Drosophila melanogaster: one gene and its partners. The protein of the gene in region 2 interacts with the protein of the main gene of each other region in a pairwise test. Each region holds a gene or a part of one and is shown on either strand. Other genes may lie near its edges.

Region 1 (4,152 bases), on a different chromosome or scaffold from region 2:
TGCACCGGATTTGCCGAGGGCGAAGAATGAATATAATGAAGTATATGGGCGACAAAGTATTACACTAATCTGCATAAATGTAATGTTTAAATAAATTATAGCCGTACTAGTCAAATTATGAAGTAAAGTTATAAAAACTGAAGAAGCAATAGAACTCTGTAAAAGATTCCGATTCGAGCGACACACCCAAACACATGTATCCATTGTTATTGAACAACTATTGAGATAAATTACATATTATTCCACATTGTTAAACTATCGTTGTATTCCGTCAATTTGAGGCTACATCCGGATTTCTGTTTCAGTTGACTACAAATATATATCAATGTAATTGAGAAATTCCAATTGCTCTGTTCAAAAGTTGAAGTTACGCCTAAGATTAACCAAGTAGCATACTACAAAATAAAAAAGTTGGACCGTCGTAGTCGCTGCTCCAAGTGAATATTCGCAAAATGCATTGGAAGTTAATAAAACTCAATACAAGAGTCAAGTAAAATTACCTGAGAGTTTTCGTAATTAATTGATTTATTTATTCAATACCAGCTTATCAAGCCAACTCAATTCAAACAGAAACTTAACACCGGGAGCTGAACAAGTCAGTAGTATTGGGCAGCTGGATGGACTAGAACCATTTGGGCAGAGCGTCATGGGGCAGGTTCTTATGGTTGGGCAGCGCCGTGCAGGGACGCTGTTGGCGCCAGAACTCCTGCCGTTTGTTGAGAAACTCCACCGCCTCGCGGGCGTACGCGGAGATGCTCTCCGTGTGTGTGTCCGCGCGGACCAAATCCGGATGGAGCAGCAACTTCTCCAAGTACTCCTTGTCCACGCACAGTTCGCCCAGCAGCTTGCGGGCGTTGCGTCGTTCCAGATCCGCTCGACTGGGTTTCTGCCGCGTCCTGGCACTGGTCCCCGTTGCTCCCGCTGCCTGGGATTTAGGTGTATCCTCGCCGGACTTCCGTGACTTTCCGCTCTTGGGAACAGATGCTGTTGGTCCTGGTGGACCCGGCTTGCTGCCGATGGTGTTCTCGATGGCCTCCTGCGTTTTCTGAACGCCCAGGCGAAACAAAGCCAGTTCCGGACGAGCCCTCAGACCGCGATGGAAGAACATCAGGCTCTGCTCGAACTGACCGAGGTAGTACAGCGACTCAGCCTTCTGGTAGATGGCCCGAATGTTGTTCTTGTCCTCTCCAAGAGCCGTCTCCGCATCCTGCAGTGCCTTGGAAGCCTCGCCCAGCAACAAGTAGCACTTGCTACGCGAAATCAAAGCATTGATGTCGGTGCTATTCAGCTCAAGAGCCTGAAATTTTAAGGTTTTGTTAGCTAGTTTTTAATATGTTATGGCAGATCTTAGAAAACTAAACGGGACTTAACAGCGGTATAGATTCTATTAAAAAGAGAAAACCTGCTTAACTAGATGACTCTGAAATCTGAACAGTTCCAATAATGAAACCAGGAGCACCTTGCAAAAAAAGTGTATGGCGTTCTCGGGATTGGCATTCTTGATCTCCTTGAGCCCCAGTGCGATCACCGAACTGATGTCCGCCTCGTCCGGGATGAGCAGTGCCTCGTTGCGGTCCTGCTTCTGCTTGATCTGGAGACTCTGCTTGATGTCAAATGCACCAGCGCTGACCGCTGCCGCCCGATCTTTGTCCGTGTAGAAGTCGACGAAGTTCTCCTTGGGCTTCTTCTTCTTGGCGATCTGCTCCTCGATCTTTTTGCGTGCCGCCCTAAGTTCGGCCTCAATGCGATTGCCCCGCTTGCCGCCCGCAGCGTCGCCTCCTGCTCCTCCCCCAGCTCCTCCGTCATCCCCCTGCTTTCCATCCCGTCCAGCACCGCGTCCGCCCCGATCAGTGGACTCGCGCCTCTCCCAGATGGGAGGCTTGTGGGAGCGACCCTTGGACCGCCGATTGGTCTCATCCTGTGACTCCTCCTCAGCCGCTGCTCCGGTGCGTATGAAGCTTTGCAGCAGTTCCTGCTCCTTGTCCACAGCAAGAATGGTGTTCAGCACGTTCGACATATCCTTATAATACCCTTGGCAATCGCTGGGAAGAATCTTCAACGTCCGACGATTGGAGTAATCCAAAAAACTCAACTTCTGACCAAATCACTAGCCAATTGATTGGCGCTATAATGGGTTGTTGCCAGGAAACTGGCGCCACCAAATGGGTTAGCAATCGATAACAAAACAACCACTCGTGCTGTGCCAGGTGCTACATATCAGGTGTCAGGCACCAGGTGTCGTGTCGTTTGGCGGTGTGAATGCCAAGAACAATGGCCTCCATGTGGGTCACGACCTTGGGGACGCCCTATTAGAAGGTGAGAATGCATATCCACTCCGATCTATCCTCTTTTCTCAGTGGTCCTCGAGATTATCATATTTTAAACTAATTTTTTGGTTAATGCTTAAGGAATCGAGTTGGGATTTTGTTAACCATGACTGGCTTACGGGGCGTATGAGTAACTTTCTTGATATGTTTTGAGGGGGACTTTAATTTCCTTAAAATTACGCATATTAAAGTAGCTCCTTTATAACACTAAAACTATCAACGGTATCTTTTCTCAATACGTTTTTTGTTTGCTAGCATAGAGGAATAAATTGGCATACGTGTCGTATGAGTAATATAAAAAAATGTAACAAAAAAACCTTAATGTAAACTAAAACTTATCATTAAACACTTGAACAATCTTGGCTATAAAAAAAGCCTTTCTATAGTGTTTCTATATGGTGTTACTCTACAGGTGCTTGTTCAACTACGTTAAGAATGTCAAACTGTGCTCCTTTGTTGTGAACTAAAACCTGTGCGAAGCTTTCAGGAGCTTTTAGCGGATGTCCTTTCCCGCTAAGTGATTATCCTTCTTCACGAACAAAGCATTAAATGCTTAAAAGTGAAAATGAAACACATAAAATATCACCGCCTTCGTTTTTATGTACTTTTCGAAAATTATGAAATTAAATAAAAGTACATAGATTACTTTTATCTTAATTACATATTTTTTAAATGCGATAAAACCCGTTTCAAATATCCTCAACTGTGTCTAATTTAAATGATTCACTTTGTGTAAAGTTTATCAAACATTATTTATAGTGCAATTCGGAGATGGTATTCCCAATTGCACTTTATTATTTGATGGAAATAATTCTGCCTAGTCTTAACTGTGGCTAGTAAGTTTCCCAACACACCTGGTTGTATCCAAACAAAGCCTTCTCGTAGGCCCGAACCTTCATGTGGTTATTGGATTGATCGCATAGCAGTTTAATATTGGTCTCGATCTCCTCGAGAGTATCGACCTTCGGTTTCTTGCGCGGCATTTTAAATTCGGTATTGTTAAGTAGTTATAGTGGCTTATTGAGATGGTGTATCGTAGTAGTTTCACATTTTTCACCCTTCAAGCCTGTGACTTCTTCACTCCGTAGTCTAAAATTGACGTCTGAACGCGACGGTTGTCGTTGAGCAACTGAATTATGTGCCTTCACTTTGCATTTGACCCAACTTGGCTCGCTTCTAGACCCCCAATCCATGGAAAAGGCACCCCATCACAAGCTGCAACTCAGGGGTTCCGGCTTTTCTTTACTTTGTATACCAGTTTACATGCGCTGACAAGCAGCAATAAACTTCAATAAAGTTTCATTAATATCTCAACAAACCCTTCTGAGCATTCTGAAAAGCCACAATATCCTTTGGATACCACAAAATATTAGTTTTTGTTATGAAACATCTACTAGCTGATTCATTTTGTCATCAGCTGTGACTTTAATAACAGAAAATTATTTGTTTATGGTGATTAGATCACATAATGTGCAGTGTCAATTATACATGTTACATGAACTCTATTTCACTTTAACAATAATAAAACTCGAAAAAAATATAAAACAAACAATTGTTTTTTACATAATCCCTTCTTTCTGTGTAGACTTTGGATCGCTGAAAAGGCGGATTCACCGCATTTACACGCAGTTAATTGAAGTCATCAAAATTAAAACCCAACTCCGGACGGGGAGTCACGCACCCGAGCCCGGCTGATAAGAGAAGGCCAACGGAGAAGGAGTCAGACAATCGATTTGCAGCAGGTGAAACCCATTTGGCAGCACCACCACCGAAAGAACCCCTCTTCCACCCATTTGGGTTGGTGCGGTAGTGAGGGGAAGTACAT
Region 2 (6,794 bases):
GCACACGAAACTGGACGAGATTCTCATCATCGGAGTGCCCATCTACTGTTTCCTGATCACCACAATGCTGTGGAGATCGCTGGCCCGCGCCGTGGACTCCAGGAACTTCCTCGCCGTGTTCTGTGCCATCGGAGCCATTCTGTTTGTGATCTCCGACGCCCTGATCGCGGTCACCATGTTCGTGGGCGTGCCCCTGCCCTGCGCCCGCCTCCAGATCATGATCACCTACTACGCCGCCCAGTTTGCCATTGCGCTGAGCACCGCGGACGACGGTCCTGCCCTCCAGCGCTCCCTTCGCAAGAAAATTAAGTGAAGCCAGTGCCCAGTGCTCATCTGTCGGAGGCCCAGAGACAACATGAACGCAACCACCAAACTTAGTACTTCCAAAGCGTCTAGAGTATTGCCATTTACGTGTGTTGGTTTCCCCATCCCAGTAGCTTAGTGCAACCAAATATTTGTTCCCTTTCTGATGGATGTGGAAACGGATCTTAGTAGTTTACTAGATGTTTGTTGACTTCAAAGTAATAAATATATCAATAATAGGTTCTATTAACTATTTTATTAAAAACCATCTTTGTACATCATTAAAAACCCGCTCAGATCGTAACTTAAGATGGAGCACGAACTAGTCGCTGCTGCTGGAACTGAAGCTCTCTTCTGAGGTGGAATCCCGGCGAGCACGTCTTCCGCGTCCTCGCACAGTATTGTTCCTGTTGGCCGCCGGCTTGCGACCACCCTTCTTTGTCCTTGGCGCCGCTCTGGTTCTGTTGCCCTGACCTTCTGGAGTGCTTTCTTGATCACCCTGGGCAGCGGTATCCGGGTTGACTTGCAGGCACTCGTTCAGTCGGTTCTCGAACTCGGTGACTACAGCTTTGAGCTCCGGCTTGGCCAACTTGTTGGTGTTGCTAATGATGAGCTTGAAGGACTGATAAACCTCGTCCACCTGGACCTTGTCCCTGTAGTGCTGCATATTGTCCATTAGCTTCTTCACAGCTCGCTCGTTGTAGGTGAGCAGGCCGAGGCAGTAGGCGATGTCGCGCCATTGACGCTCCACCCGCGTTACCGGGAAGCGCAGACACAGCTTCTCCACTAGCGTCTCAATCTGGCGATCCTTCTGGATGAGACCCAGGATATAGGACATGATAATGCGGTACTTGTCCTCATCCAGGTTGAGGTTTATGTCCCCCAAACGGGAGATGATATCTGGCAGGACGTTGTACAGAATGTTCGACTTGTTGGCTATCTCCTTGAAGAACTGCTTGGTGATATTGCGAATCTCCTCGTTGCCGTCCACAATGCAAAGTGCCATGTCGGCGATTTGACCCTTGACGCGTATCATCTCGTTGAGGATCAGATGAGATAGCATTTTGACGGCAGTTAGCCTTAACTCGGTGTTCGATTCGTGCAGCTGAGCGTAGAAGTGCCCCGTCCACGGCTCGATGATGTTTGGGAAACGGAAAGTGAGATCCGACAGCCCCACCACCGTGTTGCACTTGATTCGAATGTTCTTCGTTAGGTTGAGGATGTTCATCAAAAAGCTCATGTTGGACTCGCAGAAACGGGAGGAGACGGTCATGAGCCGGGCCAGAGCCAAAGTAGCGGCCTGTTGCAACGTGGGATCACCAAACTCACCTGGACGCTTGCAAATCTCTATGATAAATGGCGCCAGCTTGGAGAGCAGAGCATCCGGGTTGTAAAGCAGCATGTCCTCGCAGATGCCGTGGATTTCCTCGGCGATGTTGTCCTCTGCAGTCGCTCCCACCAGATCGTCGTCTGGCTCCTGCTGTGGTTCCGCTGCCACTCCGGACAGCCTCTTGCGCACCTCCATCGCTGACATATTAAGCGTAAGTCTGGCCGCATTATGTGAACTTCCCGCCTGCTGATTGCGGTTTTTACGCTCTTCAAGAGCCGTCAGCTCGTCGCGATACTTCATGTTATTATAGATATCCATGTCGAGAAAGATCATCTCCTTGATGGTCATGTAGCCGATGCAAAAGATTAAGCGGGAGACGAGATACACGGGAATCAAGGTGCCTTGCATCTGCGATTGGCTATCAGCTTGAGTCTGAGTGGGAGTAAGGGTCTGCGAATGCGGAATCTCCAAGGGCTGCGAGTCCGGAACAGTTTCCGTATCCGCTTTGTCTGGAGAGGGAACTATTGCAGCCGCTTCCTTGACCAGCCAGCTCTCATTGAATTGCTTGAGTAAAGCCGTCACCAGTTGCTGCGCAATCACATCCGGCGCCTGGCACATCCTATAGAAGTATTCAAAAACACTCATGGCCAGTGCGTCGAAGTCGTATAGACTTCTGTGGAAAAAGAAGTCGAGGAAGAGCCGCGTGATCTTTCCCACGAATTCTGCATCGCTGTTCTGACGCTTATAATACTTGGCAGTGTTGTTTGCATCGATTGAGTTGACCAGCAGCTGCAGACAGGAGGTAAATATCCGTGGATCCCGACGCACCCGCTCTCCGACGGCGATATCCTCGATGATGGCAGTGTTGGCCGAAACAATACTAGACTTCGATTGCGAGGCCATTATCAGGAGCTGGAGCGACAGGCGAGATTCGTTGGATGTAGTGCCCTCCAGTTTTAGCGTGAAGCGCTCAAAGAGCACCTGGATGACAGCAGCATCGATGTCGCCACCCAACACCCACTCGGTCATCAGCGACTCCAAGGCCGTGTAGTGACCATACTCGATTTCCGAAAGAAACTTCGACAGGTTCTGCACCACCTTAATGGCATGAGCGCGACCCGTTTGGTCCGTGGAGAACAGAACGCGCTTGTAGGCATCCGACACTGCATCTCGTTTCTCCTTGTCCGAAGACCAGACCAGTTGCAGCATTCTCTGCATTCCCGACTCCGTGCCGTGAATTCCGAACATGTACCCGGTGGTGAACAAGTCCACCGCCTCAAAAACATCCGTGTTTGTCTTGGACATGAGCATCTCGTGCAGTTTGGGGAAGGCTGAAGTCATCAAGACGGCAAAGTCAATGCTGTCTTTTAGGAACTGCACCGTTTTGATTTGCTGCAGCATTTCCTCGCTCTAAATTAAAAGATTTGGTTAGAAGGGAATATAACTTTCTAAGATTAAACATACGCTCTGTTTAAATCCAGCAGCCAGCAGGTGATATGTCTTTAGCAAGGCCAGCACATACACGCAATGCTCCTCGTGCTTCAGTAAGGAACTGGAAAGTAAATATATTTATGGTAAAACAAAACCATCTTTGATTAGCAACATACCTCATATTCTGATTTCCCGCCAAAAAGTCTACCTTTCGCACTAGAACAATAACATCCTTGTAGTTCTTTTCGCGCATCAGCGGAATGATCCGCTCCATCAAGGTCTCGTCGCTCTCCTCCTTGTCGAACTGCATATCGGGAACTGTAATATAACAATAAACTTTAATATATACGTCGAACTAGCGGAACTGCATGAACTCACACTCCGTAAGGTTCTCCTCTATGAAAGGCAGCAGTTCGGGCGCCAAGCTGCTAAACTCGTCGTTGAGCTTCTCCTCCTGCTTGCGCTCTTCCTCGAGTACCTCATTAAGTTTCTCCATTGCCTGCACCTCGTGTTCATGCTTGGCACGGAGTTCATCTATGGAAAGCTTACTGCTGTATGGATTGCTTTCCAGGGCGGATTTGATCAGATGCATGGCGGCACGCCGCACCAGCGAGCTCTTGTCTTCCAACCTTCCGATGGCTTCCTCCAGCACTCTGGTCAGGAAGTTAAGCGGAATGGCGTGCTGGGTTTTCAGGTGATGCCAGATACTGAGCACCTTGGAGCGCACGTGTGCAGAAATGTCTAGGATGTGGGCCATTAGGTGCTCGAGGAACTCATTGCGTACTTCCTTCAGTTCTTCGCTAAGATCCTCCGAGGTCAGTTCGCTAACCACGGTGTCGCCGATGATCTGGAGCACACAATTTCGCAGCGTGTGAGACTGACAATCTAGTAAATCTTCCGCCAGCTTTTCCAGGTGCGGTACGATCAGCGAAGGTGCTATGTTCGAGAACTCGGCCAGGAAATTGGAGAAGTGTTTGGACACCGAAGAGTCAGAACTGTCCATCCTTAGAGCATCCACAATGCTCTTGATTAGAATGGAGAAGACCGAAGAAATTCCGTACTCCTCGTGCAGAAGCAAAATTCCAGCTGCTACTGAATGGGCTGCATGCTCGGTACCGCGTAGGATCTGCAGAATGCGCACCGGGAAGGTCATGGCCTGGTTAAAGCGCTTGATCGATGTGCCCAAGATCTGGAAGATCGTGTCGAATACGTGTTTGTTGTCCATGCGAAGCGGCAAAAGTTCGATTGTTCGATAGCAGGGGTCGCAGAGCAAACTGGGGAAGATGGATACATTGCAGATCGAAGAAATAGGATGCTAAATGCTTTGCTCTTACTTTATAAAGTCCTCCTCGGCTACGGGCGGACTCCAGAGCTTCTCCAGCGGGCACTGCAGCACGTTGAAGAGCTGCACCAAGAACTTGCCGCGCTTAACCTCCCAGTTGGGAAACTGCTCCAATCCCTCCGATGGCTTGGCACGCTTCTTCTGAACATTGAGCTGCTGATCCCGCATGGCCTGCTGGACACTGTTGTTGATCTTCTTGACGGTGCTCACCTGGAGGAACAGCGTCATTTTGGTCAGGTTGAGGTAACTATTGCGCTGCTGGTTAGACATGGGCTCACTGGCCGTCAGCAGGGGCTGCAAGTCTTGGAACAGTTTCTCCACGGTCAGGTAGAGCAGGTCAAAGGACCTCATTAGATTCTGTGCAGAGGCGCCATCTGAACCGCGGGCCTCGATGATCGAGTAATACAAGTCGAAGTGCTCGAATATATAAAAAGGATCGCCCAAGTGCACTTTGCGCTTGCATTCTGGGAAGGAAACATGAAGATTGCGCGTCCGAAAACTGTACTCAATTTAAAAACCAACCGCGAAAACGGAAACTTACCTTGTAGTTTCGCGGGAATCTCCTGGGCGCCAAAAATCTCCTTCACGTAATACTGATCTCCGCTGGAGTTGATCAGATCAGATGCATTCAGGGGAAGGACGAACTGGAAGTCGTGCGATTCCTCCATGGCGGTTATTACTCCTATTTACCGCGAAATAATAATTGTATCTTCTGAATTGAGTGGCGTCGCTTATAGAGATGGGCAGATTCGCCGCCAAATCGATCGCTTGATATCGGTTATCGGTTACTGCTGACTGCAAGCTTACAATGCTCATAATGAGAGGGTGTATTTATCAGATAGATACTTACCACAAAAACTAAATTTATATTGGTTTAACAGGGGTTTGTAAAATTTTTTACATTATTAAAAGTGTACCTGTTTAGGGAGTCCCCTTGATGCAAATATGCAATGTATCGATAGTGATATCGAAATACTCGCATCTCTTCTCCAGACGCCGTGCAAATTCGGAGTTTGATTTGTTTTAAGCAGTTTCTGTTTGAATTTATTGTTTTATTATCCACAAGTTGCTAGCAGAAAACTTGACAAAATGCGTCCCCCAGAGTTCAAGCTTAACAATCCGCCGGAGGACCTGATCTCCGCTGTGAAATTCGGCCCCAAATCGAATCAATACATGGCGGCGTCTTCTTGGGACGGAACACTTAGATTCTATGATGTGCCGGCAAACCAGCTGCGTCAGAAATTCGTGCAGGATGCCCCTCTTCTCGACTGTGCCTTCATGGTGAGACTCCTTCGTACACATTAACAATCCCCTATTCAACCAACGATCCGCAGGACATAGTGCACGTGGTCAGTGGCTCCCTGGACAACCAGCTGCGTCTCTTTGATGTCAACACCCAGGCGGAAAGCATAATTGGTGCCCACGAGGAGCCCATCAGATGCGTGGAGCACGCCGAGTATGTCAATGGCATCCTCACGGGTAGCTGGGACAATACCGTGAAGCTGTGGGACATGCGGGAGAAGCGCTGCGTTGGAACCTTCGAACAGAACAACGGAAAGGTGTACTCCATGTCCGTGATCGACGAAAAGATCGTGGTGGCCACCTCCGACCGCAAGGTGCTCATCTGGGACCTTCGCAAGATGGACAGCTACATCATGAAGCGGGAGTCCTCGCTCAAGTACCAGACCCGCTGCATTCGTCTATTCCCCAACAAAGAAGGCTACGTGATGTCCTCCATCGAGGGACGGGTGGCAGTGGAGTACCTGGATCACGATCCTGAGGTGCAGCGCCGCAAGTTCGCTTTCAAGTGCCACCGGAATAGGGAGCAGAATATCGAACAGATCTACCCCGTTAATGCCTTGAGTTTCCACAATGTCTATCAGACGTTCGCCACTGGCGGATCCGATGGCATTGTGAACATTTGGGATGGCTTCAACAAGAAGCGCCTTTGTCAGTTCCACGAATACGATACCTCCATATCCACGCTCAACTTCAGCTCCGATGGCAGCGCCCTGGCCATCGGCTGCTCCTACTTGGACCAACTGCCAGAGACGCCGGCTACAGTGCCACATCCGGCTATCTATATACGCTATCCCACGGACCAGGAAACTAAACAGAAATAATGTTATATATACTTGTTTACGGCAAAGTTTTACATCATTTTTTAAAGTAAGCTACTTAGTATACTCTTTCAATTTTATGCGCGCATCTCTGATGAAACCCCACATCAGTTTTCCCAGCACAAATAAAAGCTCTATAAAACTCATGACGGAGGCCCCTATATACAGACTTATGATCCCGCCAAAGTTGGCCAGTAAATCTATATTGGTGTACTTGAGTTTCGTAATGATTTTGGTCATGACACGTTGGCCATAATAAACCTGGGCT
Region 3 (6,418 bases), on a different chromosome or scaffold from region 2:
ATATTTTTTATTGTTGGATGTAGGCTTGCATATGAAACACAATATTTTTAAACGGAATATTATGTGAGACAAAGACATTTGGTTATGCACCATGCAGTTGGACATCTTTTTTTCGCAAAAGTTCTTAAGCCGTTAAACAAACTACCTATATTTTACCTATTTGTATTCCTATGTTTGTAAATGTATACAGTGGAACGCACTAGGCAGGTGCAAGAAACGATTGCAATTGATAATAATCATAGCGAGTACGTACGTAGATGTGAGCGCATACGTTTCTATGTGCATGAATATTTACTCTACATGTAATTAAAGCAAACTAACAACTTAATGAAATTAGTAGTGTAACACGCAATTAACTATTATATAAATAAAGCTAGGCAATTCTGATCTGATGTGAGAGATATTTGAGCGTTTTTTAGTTCTTGCTCGAACGTTTTATTAAAAAATATACAACATACAATTTGTCTTTAAAATTAAACTCGTGGTATCAAAGGGATTAAAAATGAAAATTTACGTCTATAGATTTTAGTTTTAAGTAAATAGATATCCTTTATAACTAAGTTTGCGGTTCATCTATGACCACAGTTATTTGAAAAGTCCTTTGCTTATGTGGAACGCTGATAAGCAAATGATCTTTCGAATTGACTACAAATTCTTGAGGATCTTGGTTCTCAGATAAATCACGTGGTCTTATGATCATACTCCGTCCAATTTGATCGAATGGATCGTAGACTGTGAGCTTGGCAAGAAGTTTGGCACGCGATGGACAACCGACCAGCCAGAAGAAAACACCGGCTAATGCATCATCCTTTGCCATTTTTGGAGCAGCTAGCAAGGTCAGCGGATGATTCCGCATTGGATGTGATCTAAGGGTTAGAATTAGTAAATAGATATATCATTTTTGTTTTCAGTAGCTAACCTTTCCTTCGCTAAGCTGGTGTACAAGAGAAGGGCCACAAAAGTGTTTCCTTTCGTGAGGAGATCGCCATCGAAGCAGAACTGCTTTGGTAAACCTTCCACTACTTGATGGTAATCTTCCTGCGGTGGAGCATCTTTGGTTTTCCAAACTCGATGATCTTGCAGGATATGCGAAGAAAATGTGTTCGACTTTATAAGGCTTCCGCACATGTGAATGGGACAGTAATACTCTTCTACCAGAGATGACTCCAAATCATCCTGCATAATATTTTTTGGATGAGCTGAGCCCATTGTGATTACTTGCCAGTTCAGAGGAGGCAATCCTGCATACTCGGTGGTTCGACAGGTCAGCATCGGTTCCGATGCTCCATCAGAATCAGTTTCTACCTTAGATTCTTCAATTAGACACTTTGGTTCGGAGTCACTTGAGGAGTGCAGGTTGGCTATAAGACGTAATGGCTTTTGACTTGAACTTAATTCCGTGAAGGAATTTGAAAGAGATATATCCTCTTCTTCATTCAAAATGACATTTGGTTCAAGTTCTAAGTTTTCTTGTGTAGAGTTTGCATTATATTCATCGAAGGCGCTCAATTTGTTTGTAAATGGCTCCACAAATTTTTCAACTGAATCTGAATCAGTCGATTTTAGCAACTTTATCGGTTTAGTCATAATTTTTTTAATCTTCTGTTGCAAGGATTTGTCTATTTGTTTTTTAATCGCATTGCTCAATTTTGAGTGATTGTACTTTTGTAACGTAATGCGGCTCTCCTGGAAAAATGTATCATTTGAATTTTCTGTATTTTCTTTAGATCTCGTAAATGTATTACTAACTGCCGTAATGTCAGTCTTTAAACTGAATTCTTTTATTGGGTTCTCTTCTTTTCTTAAACCATCTAATTCTATCTTATAGCTCATATTGTTGTCACTTAAGGAGCTAAAATTAGCATCTGTTAATTCTGTGGACTTGGACTTTCTGTTCTCGTTTGCCTTCATGCATTTGTTACTCTTTTGATTTTCATAATCAGGTAATTTGTCATTGGGATGGTTAAAACTATCTGCTTTTCGTGTGGTGAACGACAATTCAAGATTTTCGTATAGAGTGCTACGACTTTCGAATTTTTCTGGCGGAGATGGATCAACAGAATGACACGGGTCTTTGTGGTTTATAGGTTGCTCCTTTGGACTCGCTATATGAGGTATTGGAGTACAGCTTCCGCTAATGTTATCCGAACTTCGATAGGATAGCAGCTCGTTGGGACTAATGTCAGGGATGCGAAACTCAAAGAGAGACGAAGGCGGATCATCCGGAAGAATATTCTCCTTGATATAGCATTTCGTGGCTTGACCGATATTCACCAACTCACCAACATAAGTAGGAACCAGTATTTTGGGGATAACTAGACTCCTATGAGATACAGTCTCGCAGAATTGTATCACTCCCCAGTTGAACGATGGCTCCTTATGTCTACGTAATTGAAAGTTATTATCCGATATTTGAGATTGGTTTAAATTCACAACTTTAAGTGCGATTCTGGGTCGTTTTTGAAGACATTCGTGGTGTATCTTGGAAGGAGTGATCTTTGATTGATCATTTACTTTGGCTGGATTGTTATCCCTCGGTGGGATATGATCTATTTTTTCTTGTAGATTTAAACATTTTGAAGTGCTATGATCTTTTATTGGAGTCTGTGATTCCGAAGAATCATCCTGATAAATTCGTTGTGCTTTCCTTTGAATGTTTGTATTTATGGATTGCAGTCTTAAATTTTCCTCTTTTGGTTTGTCATTCGTAGCTTTTTGTTTTTGCATACGTAGGGTTTCTCTAAAAATCTCGGGAATTACTCCTTGATCTGCTAGTTTTAGGGATTTCTGCCCTTCGTGTTCGTGTTTTTTACATTCCTGTGCTCCAGAAAAGGATCTTAAGCTATTGAGCTTTTGCTTTATGGCGCATCCTATTTTTTTATTTAGCCATATTTGATTCGCATCGGATTTTTTTGGAATTCTACTATCTTTTATTTTAATTTTAGCAACTATATCTTCACGATGCTTTTGTTGTCCGCAGCGAGCACACTTATATAATGTCGATTTGGGTTTGTTATCACAAAATCGTTCCCAAATGGAATTGCTTATGCTTAGTGTTTTTGAAACGGGCTTGGAATAATCATTATAGTTGTTTGTTTTATTTGAAGAAAATACACTGTGCTCATTTGATACATTACTTTTCAAAGAAACCGATTCAGGGTCCTCGACGAACATGTCGTTGATCGGCTTATTAATATCCTCCAATTCTGGTATCTTGTCATCATCGCAGTTTCCATTTGAGCTTTTCGATTCCTGTGAGCTGAAAACTTTGTCCATGATTGAGGTTAAAATGGAAGATCTTTCGAAGTCTTCCAACGCTTCCGGTTTATTTTCCCGATTGTTCTGCTGAGTAACTGCCGGTTTGGAGGCCAAGTTCTTGGCTGGGCTGGTTTTACCTGAAATATGGCATTCGTTTCCAATGTTATCAATGGTTTTCTTAAGATTTTTACGAACTGAATCCGCCATGAATAGGATGCCTGATAGATTGTCAGCGATTGGACTCTTTGTGTCCTTAGTAGAGCTCAACTGAAAGTTCAACGATTCAATGCGATTGTTGCGCAAATCCTGTCGTGGTTCGATGTGCAGTGATTTCGGTCGATGAAGCATATAACGAGCGTTATTCACGACAAGAGCATCTTCGGATGGACCTTCATAGTGATCAAATGGACAAAACTGGCTAGCCAGCTCGGAATCGGTCGATTGCGAGTCCTTACAATTGGAGCTACTCAATCCACCACCCATCTCTCTGTCATCCGTCGAGTTCTGGCTGCTCAAGATGTTGGTTAAGACTTTGGAAAGTGGTGGCAGCGGGCGACTCCTGTGGCTGCGTGGTGGACGAATGCTGTTCCTGCTCCTCTTGGATATAGCTCCCCCGAAGGTATCCGTAATGGGACTTTGTAAGGGTATAAAGTTACTGACAAATAGATTGTTGTAGTTCTGTAGCGGGCTGTTTTTTGGATTAAAAACGTTATGGGCCATGGCCACCAGGCTTGGCATCTCCGAACGTGGTGATTCCAATTCTTGACGCGGAGGTGGTGGTGGTGGTGGTGGTGCTGTGGGCGATGGCGGTGATGAAGGCAATGGCGATAGCGTTGGAGATGACGACGGCGTCGAAGGTGGCGGTGCTTTGGGCGCCAGCTGTCGACGACTCATCATTCCCTTCGGTTTCGAGTGCAAGCCATGACGCCCCGGGTACCGTTTGCACTTCATCTCTTTGGGTGCTTCAGTACTTTCCTGGCCAACTTCAGCTTTGGCCAAGCCACCACACTTGTGGCAATTTGTCCGGCAACAATTCTTGGCTTTCGGCTTCTTGCCCCTAATGGTTACCTTTACCCGAGTCTTTTGGCTTTTTTTGGGCTCCTCCACGTGGCTGGGCTCTGGTATAATCGTCTTCTGCTCCTCGGTGCTCTGATCTGCATCCTTATCGCTGGAGGAATCGAGTCCAGCCTGGGGGCGCCTGGCCAATCCGCACACCTGGCAGATCAGACGATGGTTCACCGGGATGTGGAGCACCGCCCGCGGCAGTTTTCCGCACAGGCACCACTCCCGCGGCCATGCAACTCCACTACTGGTCATGTTGTTCATGTACAACGAGTACAACTTGTAGAAGCGAAACATCAAAAGCCAGCTATTTTGATTTTTAGACGGCCAATCAGGTCGACTTACTTAACAAGCAACGAAATGGCACATAGATTCCGGCAATTTTCGTCAAATATGTTTTCTTAACTTTTAGTTTTATCACACATTCCTAAATATATAGTCTATATGTTCGTTGTTAACGGGTACTTAAAATATTTAGACATATTTGTCAACTCTATTTCGAGCTTATGTTTCGAAAATTAGGTTTTTTATGTGAGTATTGATGGTAAAATGACGAAAAAACTGCTAAAAGGCTAAAAAAATTGATACATTTGCACCAGCAGTTTTTCGGCCTTTAAAGTAACTTGTTATTAAATCATTAAATCCGATTGATTCTTTCAGAACTCACAATCGACTATATTCTTAATTAATTTCATTCAAGCTGTATGTTCTGGAATTATTAAAATTTCTATTGTCTTTGTTTGCGGCTTCTGTAATTTGCAATTGAAGTTTGTGTGGCCGAATGGCTCTGATTGTACGTGTTTCTAGCCACTCACTCAGTTGGGAAATTTAATTAAGTTTCTGCTGCATTTTTAATATACGCATTCAATGGAGTATTATTGAGTTTTTTGCACTGTTGTTCGAATAAAGTAGATTTTGCTGAAAGCCAGACAGCGTCCTTCGAGAACAACAGTTCGCAAAATACTATTTAATATAGTATGCATACCCGCCCACTTCCTGCAAAAGGAGATTAGTTTCATGCCATTTTAAGTGAAAATGCATGTTTCATATGCAATTACTGCTCGGGGAAAAGGATTACAGCACACACACACAAACATATCTACAAATATATGTATTAACACTTATAATTGACAAGCACACTTCACTATGCCATTCAATCGTAGTTGGAATTTATTTCAATTTTTACTGCAATAAATATGCAAAATGCATTTAGCAAGCGCAAGGTGCATGCAGCTTGACCCAATTTCTCGACTCCTTCGGCAGCATCTTGTTTAATTAACTTTATAGCATTTGATGGATTGGCCTAATCTCCCGCCCATCATCGAGCCAACCCGTTGGCCAAGCCAAGTCAATAAACACATTAAAAGCGCATCGCCTTACAAAATGCTCTGCATCTTCGGCTCATTGAGCAGATTTTGAGGAGCAAACTTGAGAGTTTGAGGCCAAGGCGTTGGGCAGCGACTTTATGCACTCAAATCAAGCAGGACGATAAATTATGCAACCAGTCGATATCCTGCCGGGAATTACCAAGTTCCCGTCGCACGTTCCTCTGTCCATTTTGAATTACACGCCGGCTGGACGGGATTTATGCGCGCCACTGGCCATAAAAATATTATTCCCAGACTACAGACTATAGTCCCTCCGAATCGGCGCCTAATTGTTCAGCATCGATTGTATTTCAATACATTCGACTACGAGGGACACTTAAAAAAAAATACGAACTTATTGCATTTCAATAACTGATGCATTGCAAAACTATTGCATCTTTATGTTGAAAGCACTTGAAAAGATGTTTCAAATAGTGCTATACTCGTAGCATATTTTAAGATACCTTTAACCTCGCATATACAATTTTTTGACATTTCTGAGATAAAAAACTTTTTAATTATACCTCTGGGTTTATAATCACATTTCGTCCTTGATCTTGGAAAGCGTTTCTTACCCTGTACATGACGACAAAGTCAAATCGATGTCTGCGATTGGAGCAACAGAAATTATTTACTCCCTGGTGAGGCATTTTAATGCGTTTTTATTGCGATACTTTTAGCGTCATTTCATTTTCGGCATTTTTCTTTGGCCATGATGGCATTTTCCATGA

What was found. Proteins that work in one complex are often made in the same cells at the same time.
Region 1: the proteins of Cap-D2 (region 2) and CG13502 interact in a two-hybrid assay, tested with the Drosophila melanogaster proteins (one large-scale study listed by BioGRID).
Region 3: the proteins of Cap-D2 (region 2) and CG13131 interact in a two-hybrid assay, tested with the Drosophila melanogaster proteins (one large-scale study listed by BioGRID).

Annotation. Positions count from the first base shown.
Region 1 is NT_033778.4:22,085,270-22,089,421, forward strand, and holds CG13502 (uncharacterized protein), read right to left. Parts: upstream 2,153-4,152; 5' UTR 2,018-2,152; coding exon 1,460-2,017; intron 1,298-1,459; coding exon 623-1,297; 3' UTR 513-622; downstream 1-512.
Region 2 is NT_033777.3:29,674,010-29,680,803, reverse strand, and holds Cap-D2 (CAP-D2 condensin subunit), read right to left. Parts: upstream 5,154-6,794; 5' UTR 5,075-5,153; coding exon 4,948-5,074; intron 4,871-4,947; coding exon 4,399-4,870; intron 4,339-4,398; coding exon 3,443-4,338; intron 3,383-3,442; coding exon 3,241-3,382; intron 3,186-3,240; coding exon 3,098-3,185; intron 3,044-3,097; coding exon 626-3,043; 3' UTR 547-625; downstream 1-546. Other genes in the region: CG7582 (uncharacterized protein), read left to right, coding at 1-313; Bub3, read left to right, coding at 5,496-5,687, 5,741-6,529; ppk19 (pickpocket 19), read right to left, coding at 6,581-6,794.
Region 3 is NT_033779.5:10,012,715-10,019,132, forward strand, and holds CG13131 (uncharacterized protein), read right to left. Parts: upstream 4,750-6,418; 5' UTR 4,618-4,749; coding exon 3,450-4,617; intron 3,396-3,449; coding exon 920-3,395; intron 867-919; coding exon 557-866; 3' UTR 513-556; downstream 1-512.